Xenopus tropicalis: one gene and its partner. Each later gene encodes a partner of the first gene's protein in a complex. Links are inferred from orthologs where the notes say so. Each region holds a gene or a part of one and is shown in the gene's direction. Other genes may lie near its edges.

What was found.
Region 2: the proteins of cct5 (region 1) and dcaf12 are in contact, whole or in part, in a cryo-EM structure (PDB 8AJM), measured with the Homo sapiens proteins. The link is inferred for Xenopus tropicalis from reciprocal best matches to the Homo sapiens genes CCT5 and DCAF12. Residues at the interface, in NP_036205.1 of Homo sapiens: Gly537, Glu538, Ser539, Glu540, Glu541; in NP_056212.1 of Homo sapiens: Lys91, Phe93, Lys108, His144, Trp186, Phe188, Arg203, Lys254, Arg256, Glu298, Val300, Arg344, Phe411, Tyr422, Leu440, Pro441, Ser442, Gly443.

What each region holds. Positions count from the first base shown.
Region 1 is NC_030682.2:71,967,825-71,971,633, reverse strand, and holds part of cct5 (T-complex protein 1 subunit epsilon), read left to right. Parts: intron 1-1,272; coding exon 1,273-1,392; intron 1,393-3,410; coding exon 3,411-3,596; intron 3,597-3,809. UniProt on the Homo sapiens protein: Component of the chaperonin-containing T-complex (TRiC), a molecular chaperone complex that assists the folding of actin, tubulin and other proteins upon ATP hydrolysis.
Region 2 is NC_030677.2:211,229,387-211,233,860, reverse strand, and holds the start of dcaf12 (DDB1- and CUL4-associated factor 12), read left to right. Parts: upstream 1-1,556; 5' UTR 1,557-1,662; coding exon 1,663-1,725; intron 1,726-4,174; coding exon 4,175-4,429; intron 4,430-4,474. UniProt on the Homo sapiens protein: Substrate-recognition component of a DCX (DDB1-CUL4-X-box) E3 ubiquitin-protein ligase complex of the DesCEND (destruction via C-end degrons) pathway, which recognizes a C-degron located at the extreme C terminus of target proteins, leading to their ubiquitination and degradation.

The sequences.
Region 1 (3,809 bases):
GCTGAAAAAGTAACCCTCGGCTTATACTCGAGTATATGGATTTGAAGCCGTAATGAGCTTGTTGCGCGCCATCTCCATCCTACACTGCAGCCGCTTTGTGTTGCGCCCAGATCAGCGATGGGATCCCCATATGTCTGCCCGAACCTGTCACTTAGTATGGCAGCTTAGCCTTCCCAAACTTGGCTTTGTCTGCTGCTGTACCATTTTTCTTTCCCTGTACCTGTTTTCTTTCCCAGTGCTCTTCAAGGCAGGAGGGTCAAAGGGTCCTCCATCCACCTTTCCCTAATCTGCAGCTGCCAGCATGATATATTTATGAAGAGTTCACAGGGGGTCACCCTGAGTGTCCTTTTATTATTTATTTGATTATAGAAACTTAGCAGTAGCGGCTGCATTTCCCACCCTAGGCTTATACTCGAGTCAATAAGTTTTCTTAGGTAAAATTAGGTACCTCGGCTTATATTCGGATCGGCTTATACTCGAGTATATACGGTACCTTCAGTTGTTTCAATAGTGCCCTTAATTCTCCACATATTTCTCCCGTTCAGATGATTAGAAGCCAGACAGGAAGAAAAAACGCTAATCTGTGTAAAGAAAGTTCCCATAATGTCTCGCTTCTGAACAGACACCCAGACCAAGTTAGATTATGGGGCACATTTACTAATCCACGAACGCTCCGAGCGTTCGATCGGCGTATTTTCGGGTCTTTTTCGTACTTTGTGACAAAATTGTATTGTCGCACCGAGTACGAAAGTTTCGGATTCATTCAAGCTTCGGAATCGTGACTTTCCTTGGGCCAGGTTGGAGCTGCACAGTGCCATTGAGTCCTATGGGAGGCTTCCAAAATCATGCACAGAAGGATCAAAGTCGGAAAGGTGTTCCAGCATTTTACGATCATTCGGATATGAAAATTTTGAGACTTTCGGATCGCCAATACGATTCGAATTCGTGTTTTCATGAATTTGCCCCTATGTGTCAGCTTTCCTGCTGATTGGCTCAGATCTACATTCCTAAAGGAGGGAGTGAGTTCTTAGCATTCTTGAGGGAGGGGGGAGCAGCAGAGAGGAGAGAGCTGAAAGCTGTGTCTCTCTGGCAGAGGAAAACAGACACAACTAATCTTTTGACAGAGAAGTCAGTGCAGCTGTTTCTGTGAGTGCTTGTGGCTGTATTTACATAGACCTTTCTGATAAAGCTTACTTAGTTTTTACTTTTCTTTTTCCTTTAACCACATTTAACTGATGTTAGAAATACTGCTTTTGCTTTAATTTCTTATAGATAAAAGATACAGGTGCAAATCTTGCCATATGTCAGTGGGGCTTTGACGATGAAGCAAATCATTTATTATTACAAAATGAACTTCCTGCTGTTCGATGGGTTGGTGGACCTGAAATAGAGGTAAATTTTTTTTTCTTCTAAAAAATAGCAAAGGCAACCAAACAACGCTAAACCTTGAACATTCAAATCTAATACATGAGTAGTTTAATCTTTCATGTTTAATTTTTGGAGGGATAATCAAGGCAGGCAACAATTTATTTTGTTTTTATAGCATATAATTATTTTTTACAGACCTCCCAATGTTTATCCAGATCCTATATAAATGCATATATATCTGCTGCTTTGATTTTCTTTTTCCCCTTTCTTTTCTCCTGCTTCTATCCCATATTATGTTCTCCTTATGTTTTCTTATACTCCTTTTTTTTCCTACCCTTTTATAGCCACATTTTTTTTTTCCTTTTCCCTTTTTTCCACTTTATTCTCACTGTTACTCTTATACTAATTTGTCCCCATTCCTACACTTTTTTTATTCTCACAAAATGCCCCTACTCTGAAACCATGTTATTTACTTTATCTGTTGCAGTTTTACATAAATATTGGCATAACAATGCAATTCATTTCATATCGTGTATGCATGTGTACAGCTGGAACAATATTATTGTGTAAAACTGCATTTTGTAATATTATCTGTGTGTGTATGCTTTTTGCTAAAGCCTTCCTATATTCATATAATGTGAATATCGCTTGGTTTGAGCATTGGGCAGGTTTGAAAATCTGAAAAGGTGCATTTGCAGATGAGGAAGTGAAGAGAAACCCCATCACCTTTTGATGTCCTACTGTTACACAATTTTGCAGAGAGCTTCTTTTTGTTTGTGTTTTTTCAATTGCCAGAGCTAACTGGGCAGAGAATAGAAAAGGACTGGCAAACTACTTATAATAGCAATTATATATACAAATAACCTATAAACCATTGCAAATTTGTAATGAATGTATGTTGCAAAGTTGCTTAGAATTGTTTTCTTTTATTAGGCAAAACATTATATGTTGGGCTGACTTGTCACCAAGGTCTGTCACTGCTATGTGTATTTGCAATACAGTAATTTCCATTCACAGGAGCTGTGATAGGAATGCCTTAGCCTTTAAAACAGGGTCCCCAACCTTTTTTTACCCGTGAGCAACATTTAAATGTTAAAAATTTTTGGGGAGCAATAAGGGCTGTGATTGGTTATTTGATAGCCCAGTGGTGACTGGCAGACTACAGGAGGCTCTGCTTGATAGTACACATGGACTTTATGCCTCCAAATCTTGTCTTCAAGTCAGAAATTTAAAAATGAAAACCTGCTTTGAGGCCACTGGGAACAACATTAGAGGGGTTGGTGAGCAACATGTTGTTGTCTTGAGCCCTTGGTTGGAGATCACTGCTTTAAAAGGACAGTATAACTCCTCTTTCCCTCATGTCCTTTGGCAGCACTTAGACTGGCACTTAGAGATGTTGTCCTGTGGGTGGGTAAAAATATTGACCCTAGTTAAATTGACACTCGCTCATCCACTATAAAGATCCCTCCTCCCTTTGAGATTAATGGGTTTTTTTCTACTGGCAGGAATTATACCATGTTGAGGTTTTCCTGAGCCCCTGTCAGATGACTCTGCCCCCAGATAATGGGTAAGACCAGGGCATCTTTCAGATGTCTCTGCCCCCTGTCTTTTATGAAATAGCAGCCTTACCATTATGAAGATGCTCCATGAAAAGGGGTTCTAAATACAGACAGGAATTAGAAGTGTGCTGGATGGCACATCTGGATATCAAGAAACCAAAAAGTTGTCAGGAAGCAGCGTTGTAAAATGAGAACTCTCAAAGTTTATTTATCCATACATAAAAAGCAAAAGGATAGCCTATCCTTTTGCTTTTTATGTATGGAAAAATAAACTTTGAGAGTGCCAGTGCCTTTTATTACACATGAGGGTTTGTTTGCTGTTGTCTCTTTTTTTGCAGTTAAATATAAAAATCTATGTTAAAACATGTTTTCATTAGTCTGACAAAAATGTGCATTAATTTGCAGACTGTTTGTAATGGTTATACATGTAGATCATTATTCTATAGTAGAAGAAATTAACTTCTTCTTCTTCTTGTTTTGCAGTTAATTGCTATTGCAACAGGAGGCCGTATTGTCCCACGATTTTGTGAGTTAACTCCAGAAAAACTTGGTTATGCTGGTATTGTGAAAGAAATTTCTTTTGGCACAACCAAGGATCGAATGCTTGTTATTGAGCAATGCAAGAACTCTAGAGCTGTAACTATATTCATCAGAGGAGGAAATAAGATGGTAAGTTTTCTTTATTTTTCCTCTTCAACTTAATAACAGACTTGATATCATACACTGTTGGCATTAGTTTGAAAAATGTTTCATTGTGATTCAATGAAAAATGAATGCATTAGAGCAATTATTTTACTTTTAAGAAGTAAAATGAACTGCCTGCACCTTTTTTTGGGGCGCATGCGCGCAGCTGACCAGGCAGGATGTGTCTGTGAACGCTCC
Region 2 (4,474 bases), on another chromosome or scaffold:
AGGTTGCGCCCCGTGCGTAATGACGTCACACCCACAGGCGCAACCTTATAAAAGGGCCTGTCGCAAGGAGAGGCATAACGAAGCAGCCGACGAAGCATGAACATCTCCAGCCTGCGGATCCAATTCAGTCGGATTGGGGACCACATTGGCTGGTTGATGCGCTCCCCGAACTGACTGCGCCCAGGGCCAAACAACCGAATTAGCCTAAATTCCCCTGATATCACCCACCTGTAGGTGTATGCGCCCGCCCGAAGGTGTATGCTCCCGCCCGTAGGTGTATGCGCCCGCCCGTAGGTGTATGCTCCCGCCCGTAGGTGTATGCTCCCGCCCGTAGGTGTATGCTCCCGCCCGTAGGTGTATGCGCCCGCCCGCAGGTGTATGCGCCCGCCCGCAGGTGTATGCGCCTGCCCGCAGGTGTATGCTCCCGCCCGTAGGTGTATGCCCGGGGGTGTATGCGCCCGCCCGCAGGTGTATGTGCCCGCTCGTAGGTGTATGTGCCCACCAGAAGGTGTATGCGCCTGCCCGCAGGTGTATGTGCCCGCCCGTAGGTGTATGCCCGGGGGTGTATGCGCCTGCCCGTAGGTGTATGTGCCCACCAGTAGGTGTATGCGCCCGCCCGTAGGTGTATGCGCCCGCCCGCAGGTGTATGTGCCCACCAGTAGGTGTATGCGCCCGCCCGTAGGTGTATGCGCCTGCCCGCAGGTGTATGTGCCCACCAGTAGGTGTATGTGCCCACCCGTAGGTGTATGTGCCCACCAGTAGGTGGGGATATTGTGATAAGAACCCTCGGCAGGTGAGCGGATCTTTACGTGTATGGCCACCTTAATGCTGAGCCCCTCGGTTCCTACGCGTTTCACCCCTAGCGATGGATTTGCAGCCAAGTTACCCTTTTTGCCATCGGCACATTTTTTCGCTAAACGGCTGCAAATATTTGGCGTGAAACAAATTTCACAGAAAAAGTTGTACGTGCGCCGCTCACGCCACGGGGCAGATTTACTAAAACTCCATCCTTTCTCTTTCATGTTTTATTTTTTCAAATTCAACTAAACTCATCTGTTATTTACTATATAAAAGTCGCACGGAAAAGTCACTGCAAGAAAATTCTTTAAAAAAATGTCAATTTTTCAAATGGTCAGTACAGGAATTGATGTAGAGGCGGCACTGACCCGCAATAAGCGCTGAGTGAAAGAAAATAACAGCCAAGGCTTGAGGGCTACTCAGGGCCAGGCTTCAGGCTTGGGTCATACCACTGTTGTACAGAGGGAGATTCCCTGCATTAATGCTGAGGAGGAGAGGAAGAATAGAAATAAACCAATAAAATAAGACAAAAATGTAATTTATTTGATTAAAAAAACAACTTCAAAGCAATGTTTCTCTTTCCACCCCCGCTGTGCAGTTGGTTCGGCCCAGGACAGGCGTCTCAGCTTGTTACTATGGAACCCTCCTAGCTCCGCCCCTTTGTGTCCCCGTACTGGGTTGCTAAGGAAACGTGGGAGGGACCTTCTAGGGAGGAAAAAAAAAGTCTTACGTCATAGCGGCGCGCAAAGGTGAGAGGTCAGGCGGCTGCCGTGCTGGTTCTGTTCCGGTTCCGACTCACTTCTCGTTATATGTGCTGTGCGGCGGCCCGGAGCCTCTCCATGTGGGTGTCGTGCCGGGGGGAGCATGACCCGGAGAGCAGTTAGCAGGAAGCGGAGGGCGGCTCCTGGAACGGGCCCCGGGGAGCAGGTAGGTGCCTGTGTGGGGGGCCCCGGGGAGCAGGTAGGTGCCTGTGTGGGGGGCCCCGGGGAGCAGGTAGGTGCCTGTGTGGGGGGCCCCGGGGAGCAGGTAGGTGCCTGTGTGGGGGGCCCCGGGGAGCAGGTAGGTGCCTGTGTGGGGGGGCTGAGGGGGGCAGGTAGGTGCCTGTGTGGGGGGGCCCCGGGGAGCAGGTAGGTGCCTGTGTGGGGGGCTGAGGGGAGCAGGTAGGTGCCTGTGTGGGGGGCCCCGGGGAGCAGGTAGGTGCCTGTGTGGGGGGCCCCGGGGAGCAGGTAGGTGCCTGTGTGGGGGGCCCCGGGGAGCAGGTAGGTGCCTGTGTGGGGGGCCCCGGGGAGCAGGTAGGTGCCTGTGTGGGGGGCTGAGGGGAGCAGGTAGGTGCCTGTGTGGGGGCCCCGGGGAGCAGGTAGGTGCCTGTGTGGGGGGGCCCCGGGGAGCAGGTAGGTGCCTGTGTGGGGTGCCCCGGGGAGCAGGTAGGTGCCTGTGTGGGGGGCCCCGGGGAGCAGGTAGGTGCCTGTGTGGGGGGGCCCCGGGGAGCAGGTAGGTGCCTGTGTGGGGGGGCCCCGGGGAGCAGGTAGGTGCCTGTGTGGGGTGCCCCCGGGGAGCAGGTAGGTGCCTGTGTGGGGGGGCCCCAGGGAGCAGGTAGGTGCCTGTGTGGGAGGCCCCGGGGAGCAGGTAGGTGCCTGTGTGGGGGGCTGAGGGGAGCAGGTAGGTGCCTGTGTGGGGGGCCCCGGGGAGCACACAAGGTATCAGGGGGCGGGGCTGCAGTGCAGGTAAGTGGGAGGCTGGATACACACAAGGTATCAGGGGGCGGGGCTGCAGTGCAGGTAAGTGGGAGGCTGGATACACACAAGGCATCAGGGGGCGGGGCTGCAGTGCAGGTAGGTAAGTGGGAGGCTGGATACACACAAGGTATCAGGGGGCGGGGCTGCAGTGCAGGTAAGTGGGAGGCTGGATACACACAAGGCATCAGGGGGCGGGGCTGCAGTGCAGGTAGGTAAGTGGAAGGCTGGATACACACAAGGTATCAGGGGGCGGGGCTGCAGTGCAGGTAAGTGGAAGGCTGGATACACACAAGGTATCAGGGGGCGGGGCTGCAGTGCAGGTAAGTGGAAGGCTGGATACACACAAGGTATCAGGGGGCGGGGCTGCAGTGCAGGTAAGTGGAAGGCTGGATACACACAAGGTATCAGGGGGCGGGGCTGAACTCAATATGATATGCCTGGGGGGGGGTGGGGGCACTGTGCCTGCTTGGGAATCTCTATAGAAGGGAGAGGTGGGACAGTGGGTATGGGGATATTTTTTTAACTTTAGGGACCCAGACTTAACTTAGCCGTTTGCCACCTCAGCTAGAGACCCCCATGAACATCCCCACCTTGCTCGGTGCGTGTGTAGTGCCCCTTGCTGCCCCTGGGTACAGGCTGGCGCTCAGCATCCCTATCAGTAAGTGAAGGCAGATGCCGTGGCTCCGGCATGGGTGGCAGTGACTGGCATCTAATTCTCCTCCATTAACTGAGTGCTGGGTGGGCAGTGACGAGACTGCTGCTGGGCAGTGCCCGGGCTGGGTACAGAGAGAGCAAAACTCATTTACTGCCTGTGGGTTTGTGGGTCCGGCAGCCAATCAGAGAAGCCACAGTTGATAGCAGTTGCAGCTCCAGGGGTCAGGAACCTGTAACTTCCATCTCTGTAGGCAGTGCCACAAGCCACCACCCATATTGCCCCCTGGCACCTCTGTAGGCAGTGCCACAAGCCACCACCCATATTGCCCCCTGGCACCTCTGTAGGCAGTGCCACAAGCCACCACCCATATTGCCCCTGGCACCTCTGTAGGCAGTGCCACAAGCCACCACCCATATTGCCCCCTGGCACCTCTGTAGGCAGTGCCACAAGCCACCACCCATATTGCCCCCTGGCACCTCTGTAGGCAGTGCCACAAGCCACCACCCATATTGCCCCCTGGCACCTCTGTAGGCAGTGCCACAAGCCACCACCCATATTGCCCCCTGGCACCTCTGTAGGCAGTGCCACAAGCCACCACCCATATTGCCCCCTGGCACCTCTGTAGGCAGTGCCACAAGCCACCACCCATATTGCCCCCTGGCACCTCTGTAGACAGTGCCACAACCCACCACCCATATTGCCCCCTGGCACCTTTAGTAGCTTACTCTTTGGCACCGACAGCACCCAAGTCTGTACCCATATTTCCCAATCCCTCCCTATTATCATATAAGGCCCCTGTCTTACCCTTTAAATTTGGGTTCAGTTTATTATTGATCAGGGGCGGAGCCTACTAGAGACTTCTGTATCACTCCCGGCCCATCAGTACCGCTGGGTGTCAGACTCCAGTCCCGAGGCTGCTCCCTGTGTGCCTGGCTGCCCCCACTGCTCGTTACCCTCATTAACTCTTGGTTTCTCCCCCCGTTAGTCGGACTGGGATCACTCGGCCCATAAACGCAAGAGGCTCCCCCCGGAGAAGAAATCGCTTGTGTTCTACCTGAAGTCCAGAGAGCTGAAGCCTCACAATGACTCCAGTTACCTTCGTCTGTTACGCGGCCACGCAGCTTGCACTCTCCCCGGCATTCTCTCCGAGAGGGAGTTCCACCTGGGGACCCTCAATAAAGTCTTCGCCTCTCAGTGGTTAAACCACCGGCAAGTGGTGTGCGGCACCAAGTGCAACACCGTGAGTCTGGGGAAACATTGGGGTAACAGTCACCCACTAGGGGAA